Oryza sativa Japonica Group: one gene and its partner. The protein of the gene in region 2 interacts with the protein of the main gene of each other region in a pairwise test. Links are inferred from orthologs where the notes say so. Each region holds a gene or a part of one and is shown on either strand. Other genes may lie near its edges.

The links. The genes of interacting proteins can lie anywhere in the genome.
Region 1: the proteins of actin-related protein 2/3 complex subunit 2A (region 2) and actin-related protein 2/3 complex subunit 4 interact in binary tests that used the Arabidopsis thaliana proteins (3 or more experiments, as listed by UniProt). The link is inferred for Oryza sativa Japonica Group from reciprocal best matches to the Arabidopsis thaliana genes DIS2 and ARPC4.

Annotation. Positions count from the first base shown.
Region 1 is NC_089037.1:36,640,905-36,646,686, forward strand, and holds actin-related protein 2/3 complex subunit 4, read left to right. Parts: upstream 1-2,066; 5' UTR 2,067-2,190; coding exon 2,191-2,193; intron 2,194-2,536; coding exon 2,537-2,602; intron 2,603-2,735; coding exon 2,736-2,788; intron 2,789-3,364; coding exon 3,365-3,392; intron 3,393-4,059; coding exon 4,060-4,134; intron 4,135-4,242; coding exon 4,243-4,347; intron 4,348-4,500; coding exon 4,501-4,590; intron 4,591-4,676; coding exon 4,677-4,766; 3' UTR 4,767-5,153; downstream 5,154-5,782.
Region 2 is NC_089035.1:27,107,079-27,113,068, reverse strand, and holds the start of actin-related protein 2/3 complex subunit 2A, read right to left. Parts: upstream 3,368-5,990; 5' UTR 3,192-3,367; coding exon 3,130-3,191; intron 3,047-3,129; coding exon 2,980-3,046; intron 2,350-2,979; coding exon 2,142-2,349; intron 1,606-2,141; coding exon 1,436-1,605; intron 1,256-1,435; coding exon 1,178-1,255; intron 889-1,177; coding exon 756-888; intron 673-755; coding exon 581-672; intron 1-580. Other genes in the region: membrane-bound transcription factor site-2 protease homolog, read left to right, coding at 3,627-3,727, 4,420-4,485, 4,897-4,963, 5,246-5,320, 5,372-5,496, 5,659-5,806. UniProt on the Arabidopsis thaliana protein: Functions as actin-binding component of the Arp2/3 complex which is involved in regulation of actin polymerization and together with an activating nucleation-promoting factor (NPF) mediates the formation of branched actin networks.

The sequences.
Region 1 (5,782 bases), on a different chromosome or scaffold from region 2:
GAAATAAAAGAATGGATTCAGCAGAGATCACATACGGTGTACTCCCTCCGACAAACCCTGATTTCCGTGTCCAACGTTTGACCGTCCGTCTTATTTAAAAAAAATTTAAATGATAAGTCACGCATAAAATATTAATCATGTTTTATCATCTAACAATAATGAAAATACTAATTATAAAAAAATTTCATATAAGACGGACAGTCAAACGTTGACACGGGAAGCCACAGTTTGCCTTTTTTTTTTTTGACGGGGACGGAGGGAGTAGAAGACAGTTGCAATTTCTTTCATATCTGAAATGGATAATGTCGCCGGTGCCGTTACGGAAGTTGTGAGCGCACGTCGCCGGACTTGCGCTTTTGGATGGTTGCGAGGAATATTCCGTCGTCAGCAGAGTAGATGCCTGAGCCGCGCGGCGACGGCGGCGCGATTGGCCGGTCGGCCGGTCCAAGTGCTTGGGCCGTTTCGGGAATCTCGTCATGCCGACCCATGGGAAAGCTTTTCTTACTTCGCTGGGCATGCGTATGCATATGCATGTGTCGCTGCCGCCGCCTACCGGGATGCTCTAGACGGTTGAAGAATTTCAACAAGGATATGCAGTCGTGATCTCTCTCTCTGCTTCTTTTTCTGCTTGCGTTTGCGTTTGCATGGCTAAAAAATTCAGCAATGGAGGCGCAGCGCCACGTTGATTGTTTCATCACGTTGCTCTCCTTTACTTCTTGACTAGGGAGACTGAGAAATTTGCAGCTAGAATGGGCAGATTTGAAAACTTATCTGAAAATTTCATAAAATTCCGTCCAAAATTGCTCCCGTCGGCCGATCCACGAGACCCATGGGCTGGATCACAAGCCACGTTGGGCCGGGCCGTATTTTTATCTACCAAGAAAAGCACCAAGTTGCGGGCAATTTTTTTTAACGACTCTGAAAAATTTTTGGATCTCGTGGTCGTAACAAGAAAAAAAATTATACCACCACACACATACCGACAGCTCTAAAATACAAACACAGAAGAATACTACCATCAGACTAGACGCTGCTAAGAGTGACCCGACCGCCACTAGACAATGTTGACGGCATTCCTCTTCCTCCGCCGCCATTGTTCTCTGCTCTCTGCTTCTGCTTCTCTCTGACAATGTTGACGGCAGTTGCGGGAAAAAATTGTTCAGTCCCTAGAAAAGAAAAAGGCCAATTTAGCTTTCTTATATATACTTGCTCCATTTTGTTAATATATTGACACCGTTAACTTTTCAACGCATGTTTAAGGGGTGGATCAGGAACAAAAAGAAAATTAGGGAGGGCTCAATTACGTAGTTTCTTCAACCTCCAGCCATTTAGGAACTTTTAGTCTATCATTCATGATAAAAAAATCGAAGGAGGTATTCTAAGGGTATCCATGCGTCTTGTGAGTGTAGGGATAACTCAATTCTCCCTGCATCCACGTTGGATCCGCCCCTGCATGTTTACTCATTTGTCTTATTTAAAAATTTTATGCAAAAAATATATGATACATGAATCATGTTTAAAGTATTTTAAATGATGAAATAACTCACGACAAAATAAATTATAATTACACAATTTTTTTCAATAAAACGAATGAACAAGTAAAAAAATTAACGATATCATCGTATATTAAAATACAAAGGTAGTAGCTCGAATACGAGTCATATTCCTCAACCGCAAAAAAAGATACTACTCCCTCCGTTTCAAAATGTTTGACGCCGTTGACTTTTTAGTATATGTTTGACTGTTCGTCTTATTAAAAAAATTATGAAATATGTAAAAATATATGTGTACATGAAAGTATATTTAACAATGAATCAAATGATATAAAAAGAATAAATAATTATTTAATTTTTTTAAATAAGATAAATGATCAAACACGTACTAAAAAGTCAATGGTGTCAAACATTTCGAAACGGAGGGAGTATATCACTGTTTTGAGAGTGGTTTGCACTGATATTTCCCCGGTTATCTGAGCCCTTGTGTTTTAGATGAAGGGCCCAGATTAGGCCTAACGCACCACTCTGCACTGGTAATACTTCCGTGGATCCGCATCGTCCTCCTTCCTTGTCGAGCCGAGCAGCGCATCATCTCCATCCCGCCTCAACTCCGCCGCTCGATCGCCTCCACCCGCCGCCGTTCCGTCTACCTCTCCGACCCCCGGCGGGCGCCGCCGCCGCCGCCGCGCCTACCATGGTAACCTCCTGCCCCCACCTTATCCCGTTCCCTTTCTCTACTTACGCCTCTCTCCGGATCTGGCCTCTGGGCCGGCGCCGCATTTCCCCTTTCCGCCCACCGCGACGAGGCCTCCTGGACCCGCCAGATCTCGCCTCGAAACCTGAACCCTTCCTCTGGTCTACTCCACGGTATATTGATGGATCGACGGAGCCCTTCCGATAACCGATCACGGATTCTAGAAGGATGGGATGAGATTGTTTGTCGCTTTGGTTCGAGATTGCATTTTTTTTTTAAAATCAGATTATTTGTGGCGTTTGCTTTGGAAGTATGGGTGAGTGCTCATGTGTTTGTGCTATTGTAGGCTAATACGCTGCGATTGTATCTCACTTGCATAAGGAACACTCTGGAGGCTGCCATGTGCCTGCAGGTCAAGGATCACCATTCCTTTGCATTCTGATCACCATGTTCTCCATGCTGAAATTTGCCTTCATAGATCATTTTCTGTCTTCTGTCCTCCATGAGTGTAATTTAATTTGCGTGTGTGTTTGCTTTACCTCCAGAATTTCCCTTGCCAAGAGGTCGAGAGGCACAACAAACCGGAGGTGGAGCTAAAGTAAGTCGTGCTTCAAACTGAATTTTGTTTATTCAATGCTTTAGTTATGACCATGACCAAGAGAAAATGTTGCACTGATGTTTTAGTTTGAGAAACTGGACTTTCAGCATGTAGTCGAAAATCAACATATAATTCACTATTGTAATGCAATATAATGTATTGTAAAGAGAACGATCTTCTTCTCCTTTTTTTTTCCTGTGCATTTGTTGGGTTCTGTTTTCCAAGGTGTTTCCTCATGAACCCATTCTCTAAACAGTCATAAATTTTTCCAAGTTAATTTCATAAGATGTATACAAAAGACCACCAATTCTATCATTGGCTCCTTTTATCCTTTATATATTTGTGGGAACCCTGTATTTCTATGTTACCACACTTAGTGAGAATAGACACTGAACTTGTAATTATACACGCCAATGCTGACTAATATATTTGGTCTAAAACATATCTTGCTATACAAATATTTTTTTCCTGTAGGGTTTCATGATTTCCTTTTGTTTTTATACCCTTCCTTGAAGTTCGTATACCTCTATTCTTCCCTCACAATTTATTCTTATTGCTTTTTACTTCGTTTTGCAGGACTAGCCCTGAACTTCTGCTGAACCCAGTAAGGAATCTCTCAGCATCATCTCCAATTCAGTCTATGATTCACCTGATTATTTAACACACTAGTGTAGAATTTTGATTTAATGACTCATTAATTACACTCAATTCACTTCTAAGTTAAAATATTTTCTCTACTGGATTATCTAGGGTACGCCAGAAATCACATATGCTAGAAGCAAATGCTACTCCATTAATTAAGTGAAAAACTGACAACACATGATGACGGAGTTCTGATTTTATCTTTCTAACAACACATGCCATTGTACCATGATGGAACTAATGTATTTTGACATTTGTTTCAAAAATTGTTGTCAATGTTTGCGCCACGCTTATGACTATGATACTTTATGATTTAAATACATGCGTATAAGGAATTTAGGATCGAAGGTGAACAGTGCACTTTGACATAGAGTACATGGCATAAGGCAGGAGCAGTTTCTGGTGACATGTCTGATATCCCTCATATTATGTGACCCTTATGAACTCTACTAAATTTTTTGTTGAAGGTGACTGATTTAGAATGATCTGCTGCCGTTTGGCTGTTTACTGGCAGATATAGCCTACGCCATTCTCCAAATTCTGCTTGTTTGGAGAGAAATTTTCTCTAGATGCCTCTAGTCTCTTAAGAATTATGACTCATAGAACTATAATATTTTCCTTCAAAACAGGTGCTCATTTGCCGTAATGAAGCAGAAAAGTGTTTGATAGAGACTTCAATCAACTCTATTCGTATTAGCATGAAGGTAATCATGAAATTATGATTGGATATTACTATGCTTATTGGGATAATATCAGTCAATCATTTGTCATCTGGTATACCATCATATGTTTTTCTCTTTATTGTTTGACAGGTCAAACAGGCAGATGAGCTAGAAAATATTCTTGCAAAGAAGTTTCTTAGGTTTTTATCAATGAGAGCAGAAGCATTCCAAGTGCTGAGGAGAAAACCAGTTCAGGTGGTTTTCCTTCTTGATGATCTGTTTCAATGCTCTTTAGCCAATTTTATACGTTTTCTGTTATCTGCTGAAAGTATTAGGAGTAGACTGCATTTTGTCAAGTCAGAGCATTGCATGACATCACTGGTCTAACTTGGTTTTGTTCATTTTCAGGGTTATGATATCAGTTTCCTGATAACAAACTACCACTGTGAGGACATGCACAAGCATAAGCTCATAGATTTCATTGTTCAGTTTATGGAGGTAAGGAAAAATGTTTTCCTTGGCTTTCCCATTTGCTACAGTTTGTGACTTTATACTCATATCACATATTCTGATTTGTGCTGTAGGACATCGACAAGGAGATCAGTGAGCTAAAGCTTTCGGTAAATACACGTGGTCGGTTAGTGGCAACTGAATTCCTGAAGCAGTTCATATGACACATTCTTGGCGATCTTTGGAAAACATAAAACCCTAGCATTGTTAGCTATGCTGTCTTGGCCTTTGGCGAGCAAATCTGGAAGGATCTTTCCACCACTTTGTTTTCCTTTTGTAAATGCGTTGACAAGGATATGTGAATTCTTGATCCAACTAGACCTCATTGGCAGCTAAAATCTGCCCAGGCAAGAGAGATGAGGGGAAACAAAGTCATGGTCAGTAGGTTGAGATAGATTTTTTGGCCTTTTGGTTCAAGAATCCTGTACTGTGCCGGCCAAGTTTTATTGGAATGTGGAATGTCAAAATTGGGGCTGATTCTGATTCTGATATGTCAAAATTGGAATGTGAAAATCAGAGACGCTTGTTGTCTCTGATTCTGATTTCAGTTCCATGGCAGGCTGCCTTAGCTGCGTAAATATATTTCACTGTTCAATCTATTAGCCTCAACAGTTGCCGTGAATTCCTGGTGAAGCAATCTATTTGTGCATACATACATGAATTTGACCAAGCTAACTGTCAACATCTATGCATGAATGAACATCTCGACGATGTGTCGATGTCCACGAACGTCGTTAACCTGGAGAACAAGATGTCCATGCAGAGACAGAGGAAAAAAAGGTCAAACCACCCCTTGGCCAGCTTATCTCCAGCTCCGGCTTCAAAAAAAGGTGTCCGCTTCACACGCAACGGATCGAATGTGCTTAACTTTTATGTGTGATTCATTAGCAGAAAATCTGAAATTTTCAGTGAAGGAACCAGGGGAAGAAAGGGCTAAGGTTTTCCCTATACGAAGATTTGTTTAGCTGCTGATGAATTGATTTCTTCACCATATGGCCACATTAGCTTCACTGTGCATACATACACGCATGATAAGGAGAAGAGAGCCATTGTTGTTGACTGAGAAGGAGATACGCATGCATTCATGTGGGTGGAAAAATTGAGGTTAAATGGGGGTCGGAGTTTTGTTCTCCGACCCCTTTTGCACCTTTTGAAAATGGCGTTACTCCTTCAAGCTCGC
Region 2 (5,990 bases):
AACTTGTGAAGTTAAAAACCACAAGTCATGGAAGAGTAAAAATCATGTATATAAGCCAAAGAGAAATGTTTCACAAGCGAGCACAAGAGAACTGTGGCAAGGTTAAAATATGTCCCAATAAAGTACCGTGTCAACTACTGAATCATGAAAATCTTAAAATCCCATGCTGAAGGTGGCTTAAGAAAAATGTTCCAATTTGTTCCAAGGTGGCTTTCTGCAATAGCAATATCAGCTGTCTTGGGCAAATCAGATATTTTTCATCTTTGGAAAAAAAATTCACCCAGAATAGACTTAGGAAAATTTGATGGTATTTTGGCAGGAATCTGGTCAAAAGATCCAAATAGTGTGTTCCTTGGGGCCATTTGCAACCAAAAGAATATTATCTTCTTGGAAATAGTCCATAACAGTAGAGCTCAGTATTAAACAATGGATTTTCATCTTCACTAAGCCAAATTTAACCCATTGATGGAAAATCTGCGCATTGGATGCAATTGGTTGATTCACAATTATGGATGACAGATGCACGGACTTGATTAATTGAGAAGTATGGATCAGCCAACATAAGAAAAAAGGACCTTACCTTCACATGGTAGCTTACATAAGCATGAAAAGTCAACAAACTCCAAACTGTTTTGTCCAATTTTTTACCCTCAACATGCCGCGGGAAAACAACTGCATAAAGATGAGTTAGTGAGACAAAAAAGGGGTCTTCAATAGAAAAGAAAAACAGAAGAAAACGCTTAAATGCATATTACCAAAAGTAACAAAACCGGCATTTGCATTTAGTGCATCAGAAGGTACTCCTTTTAACTCAAGAGGTGGTACTGGAGACCACAAGCAGGAAGGGGCGTTGTTAAGAGCGCTAGTCCGCCTTGCTTCCACAAATTCCTAGATTTAACCAGAAAAGTTTAAAACAAAATAGGCAGAGCTGCCCCATCATATTGTGTCCTTCCATAAGTTGCTTCTCATAATATGGTTATGCCATCAAGAAATGGCCTCAAGACAAACTTTCACAAAACCATTAAGTTAAGGCATATATCCGTTCAAGTCTTAATGAAAGTAGTGCTAAATGCCTAAAGATCGGTTTGTTGAAGATGTCTATAAATGATCATAAAAAAACTAGAAAATGAATTGCTTGAAGCAGATAAAAGAGACAAGAAGGAAGTGTCCAAAATACCTGCAGAAAGGAAGTTGCTAAAACTATATCAATGGAATCCTGGAACCTCATAGGGTATACTACTGTAACTTTGTCTGCCTGTGAAAAAGAAATTAATCTCATGGACTGTATGAACTGAAAGTAAACGTCAAATACATAACTCTTAAATAGATTAATCTAGATTGATATATCTAAGAACCTACCTAGCTGTTCATTGCCAAAGGAAAACTATGCTTTGAAGTATGATAGATACATTTATAGGAGTTCTCAAATTTATACCTGGGGAGCAACGAAAAAGGATTCATTAGGACGGTGAACAAGAGCAACAAGCTTGTCAACATTAGGAGCCACCGTCTTTGAAGCTAGATGCTTCAGCAGAAGTTTCAGTGGTGCACCCAGCACCACCTCTCTCACAGATGCAATTTGAGTCAAGACAGCATTCCTTTGCTCTGGAATACATTAAAGTGTTAGCCGGATAATGGTTACAAGATACACATAGAGATTCCATGATTTTGATAGGCCTGACCAAAATAAATAATCACAAACAGTAATTTGATCCATTACCATGTTTGGAAGAATATGTGCAAGTATCTACAAGCAAATATATGAAGTCTGACAGTATAACAGAAATATGAGAATTCCTTCTATCAACAAGAAATGGACTTGTTCAATGGACTGCCCAAAACCTACTGACTTCCATTTCTCTTTCATTTACAGAAGGCATCAAAATCAATCCATATAGCTAAAAGATTCTACAATTAGCCAATTTATGGTCTGAGAAGCCCATGATAATTAAATGCACTATACATAACATATTTGACATTTTCGTAAAGCATCTATTTGTAAACGATGAATCCATTTCTAACCATTAGCTTGCACCAAAGTTCTATCAATGGATGACATCTCAAGGTACATAGAACCATCATCTAATTCAATCATGTAGCACAACAAGACAATGGTAACCTTGGAAAGGGAACTCTAGAACCTTCATCTGGCGGAAGCTTTGTCAAGTTTATCTTCATTGTGAGATCAAAGCCATCCTTTGGAGGATCAAGAATTTGAACGACTGGTCCATAAGCTGCCTTTATTGCCTCGATAGCACCAAGTGGAAGTCCATCATATAGCATGGCCTCAGGAGGTGGGAGGGGCAATGCTACTGATAGCACCATTACCTTTGGATTCCTCATAGAAAACTGGAACCAAAGACCAGCATTCATTAGGAAATCAAATATGAAGCAGGTAATAGTTGATCCCAACACCCAAAACATGTATAATGAAGTAATGTCAAGAGTTCAATAAATTCATAAAAGAAAAAGGAAATATGATAATTAAGCTTCTAAGGAGTTTATCTTGATTAAAGGTGAAATACAGAACCCTCCAAGCAAGGTATAATATTATATGCTCATAAGTGAAAATGATCACCAATATTATGGAAGGCTGCTTATACAAAAGATATGCGGGCAGCCTCATTATCTTGATTAGAAGGTGAAATACAATCCACTCCAATATATGATGCCAATTTTACCAAATTATTATAGAACAATTTCATTACCACAGTAGCAACAATGACTTGGATAGCATGAGATCGTGGAGCAATTCAGCACCAGAAAACAGGTCAGTTCTTTAGTTCAGGTGTTTCTGGTATTATTTTCGTGCATACAACATACCAATAACTGAACGAAGCTCTGCACCGAAATATTTAACATAGCATAACACATTCTACACATGCAGCAATGTATAGATAGCAAGCTCAATTTTAACATTAAATCTTAAGGCGGCACACAAGAATGGATATCCAGATTCGGCAGTACGGTACTACTTACCTGGATATGATACCGCACATCGTCGAATTCCACCGTGTGGCAATCGATGTCCACGCCCTTGTCGCCACTGCAAACCACACAAAACCCGCATGAGCTAAGGGCGACGAGCGGGATCAAGAAAAGGGGATGGTCGGCCGCGCAGCGACGTACCTGAGGACGCGATCCTGCAGGATCTGGAGCAGGAACCTGGACGGCGACTGGAGAAGTATCATCCCCACCTCTCTCCTCCTTCCGACCAATCTTTCTTCTTCCGCTCCTCTGCTCGACCCGACCGATTCCTCCTCGAATCAGACGAAAATCCTCCACCGTGATAGCAGCCTCGCTCGAGCTACCACTGGATCAGGGGCGCGGCTGGATCTGTCGATGTGGCTGCGAATCGGAGACGGACGAGCAGAATGGGAAGAGGAAGGAAGAAGACGAGGAGGAGGAGGGTGGAGATGTAAATCTGGTGAAATTGGAGGGGCTCCTTTGCTAAATGTGACAATGCGAGAGCCAATCAGCCAAAGCAGTCGGCGTAGTGGAATCCATCGCTAATATGAACCCTCCGATCTGAATCGGACGGCTGAGATTTCCGCCCTGCGCAGTTAATCCCCCCCCCCCCCCCCCCCAAAACTTGCCGTGTCCAAGCCGTCGCCGTCGCCGCTGGAATGATCGGCGGCGTCGGCCGCAGCAGGCGGCGTGGCCGTGCGCCGCCAGTTCTGCCCTCGAGCGCCGCCGCCCGCCGCGCCGAGCACTCCGTCTCTTGCTGGTCAGTGAAGTAGAGAGATTCTGACTCAAAACCGCTCGATCTAGTCAGATTTTAGTAGTACTAGTTAGCTTCTTACCCTCACCAAACCCTAAGTCGCGGCTAAATCGAGCCTATGCTTGCGTTCTTCGTAATTATTTTCCCAGTACTTTTACATTGGTTTCTTGTAGAGCAGAGCTTGATTTAGAGCTTGTAGGATGCGGGCAACCGTTAGGCGAAATTATAAAGCTTGATTTGGAAATTTAACATGGGTTGGCAATGTTGTAGTTTCCATTCTTCTAGTAGTACACTTTCAACAGTTGGTGAAAATTCGATTTGTGTGTTGTATCGATTTACCAAATTTCAGTGATGTATCCTGTTGGGTTCACTGGTTCAGACCTGCTGTTGGGATACACCATTCATCCTCAGCCCTAATCCTGATAAATTGAATTGTCTCCCCTGCATCTAGCCATCCGCAGAATGGTTTTAATTTTCAGGACAACAAGTTTCTCTGTTCCTTTTAAATCTGCTTATCAGCTTATCATGGAAAAATTGCATTCGACTCTATATAGTACTGCATGAGATGTTGGACACGTATTTTATCTTTCATTTATTCTTCAATTTCTTGTATATTTCAATGCAGTTTACTCCTGTCATTTTGTATTAGTGGAGGCAATGATTATTATATTCACTTACTGTGCTTATACAAAATTTAGGTACTGTGACTGCAAAATATATTCCTTCAATGACATCATATTTAATTTGGGATGGAGATATGCTAGGTATGCTTTATCTTAACTTTTGACCTTTTATCTTCTTTAATTACTCAGTGTTTCTTTGATGTGCATATTGTACCCTTTTTCCCCGCGAAAAGAGGAATATATTTATATAATTACCCATGGACTTTTACATACTATAAACAAGAATATAGCCAAGTTAGCACCTTATTTCATTTTTGTACATAAGATGCAAAGGTTTCTTTTCTTTAAAAAGAATGAGAAAAAATGCACTCTAGGAGCCATCTGTACCATTTGGAGTTAAATTTCTTCGCTGTTGCTGAAAGTTTTAGCTCATGCCCCTTTGGGGAGGTGTAATCTGATGGGGTAACCATATTGATAGTTTCCTTGCTGCTCACTATGCTGATGCCAAGATATTTGAAGTTATGGTAAATTAGTTAACTTTCTTTTTGGCAGATACATGAGAGCATGGTTTTCTGCAGGGGTTTATTTCTCTGTTGTTGCTTTAGTTGGAATATCAGTGGTAAGTTCAGTGTCGAATAATTACCAATACTCTGAAATACGTATGCCAACTAAAAAATGTTCATTACCTTACCTATATCATGAATCTGTTGACATTGTTGCTTAAATCGTTAGAACAGCCAGCACACCCTATCAATCTCGACATTTGTTTTTATGAACTGTGTAGGATATCACTGGGATAGTAGTGGTCTTCATCCTTTCTTTAAAATTTTGGAAAGTTTCATATGTTGTACTTGCCTTGAAATGTGCACGTTTATGTACTGTGGTCTGTTGCATGTTTCAGATGCTATTGTGGGACTCAATTGGTGCAGTTTATTTCAGTGGTCGGTCATTTAGTACCTGGCTACAAAATCTACTGGTGACTACAATTTGTCCCTTCATTTTTCAACTTCTAACATCAACCATTCAGCATGCCCTTAATCTATTGCAGGCTTCCAGCTTTGGCATATCAATAATGGACATCGCAGCAATCATAGCATCAACAGTTTTTTCTATTGCTTTTCACGAATTTGGACATGCTGTTGCAGCTGCAAGGTCCTTATTTGCTGACCTACATTTTCTACGAGATGTTCTGCATGTGTTTGCATTCATTTGCAGAAGGCATACTTTATATGTTGACTTACAATATTAACTTTCACCCGCTTACAGTATTCCTTTCGCACATTGCTGACACATTCATTGCTAAATATGCAACAGCGAGGGCATACAGATTGAGTATGTTGCGGTATTCGTAGCTGCACTTTTTCCTGGGGCATTAATTGCTCTGAACTGTGACCAGCTGCAAAATTTACCTCTTTTTTCTATGCTTCGGATTTATTGTGCAGGGATTTGGCATAATGTTATGGTAAGTAACGCTGGCGTGCATGGATTATTTTTTTTTAAAAAAGAAGTAAAATATCTTGATTTTATTTGACCATATATTTCTATTCCTTTTAATTTTAAAGCGCATTTCCATCTATTTTCAGTATTTGTGGCATGCATGCTAACCTATAGAGACCAGAAGTTGTGAATTAAAAAAAGGAGCACAT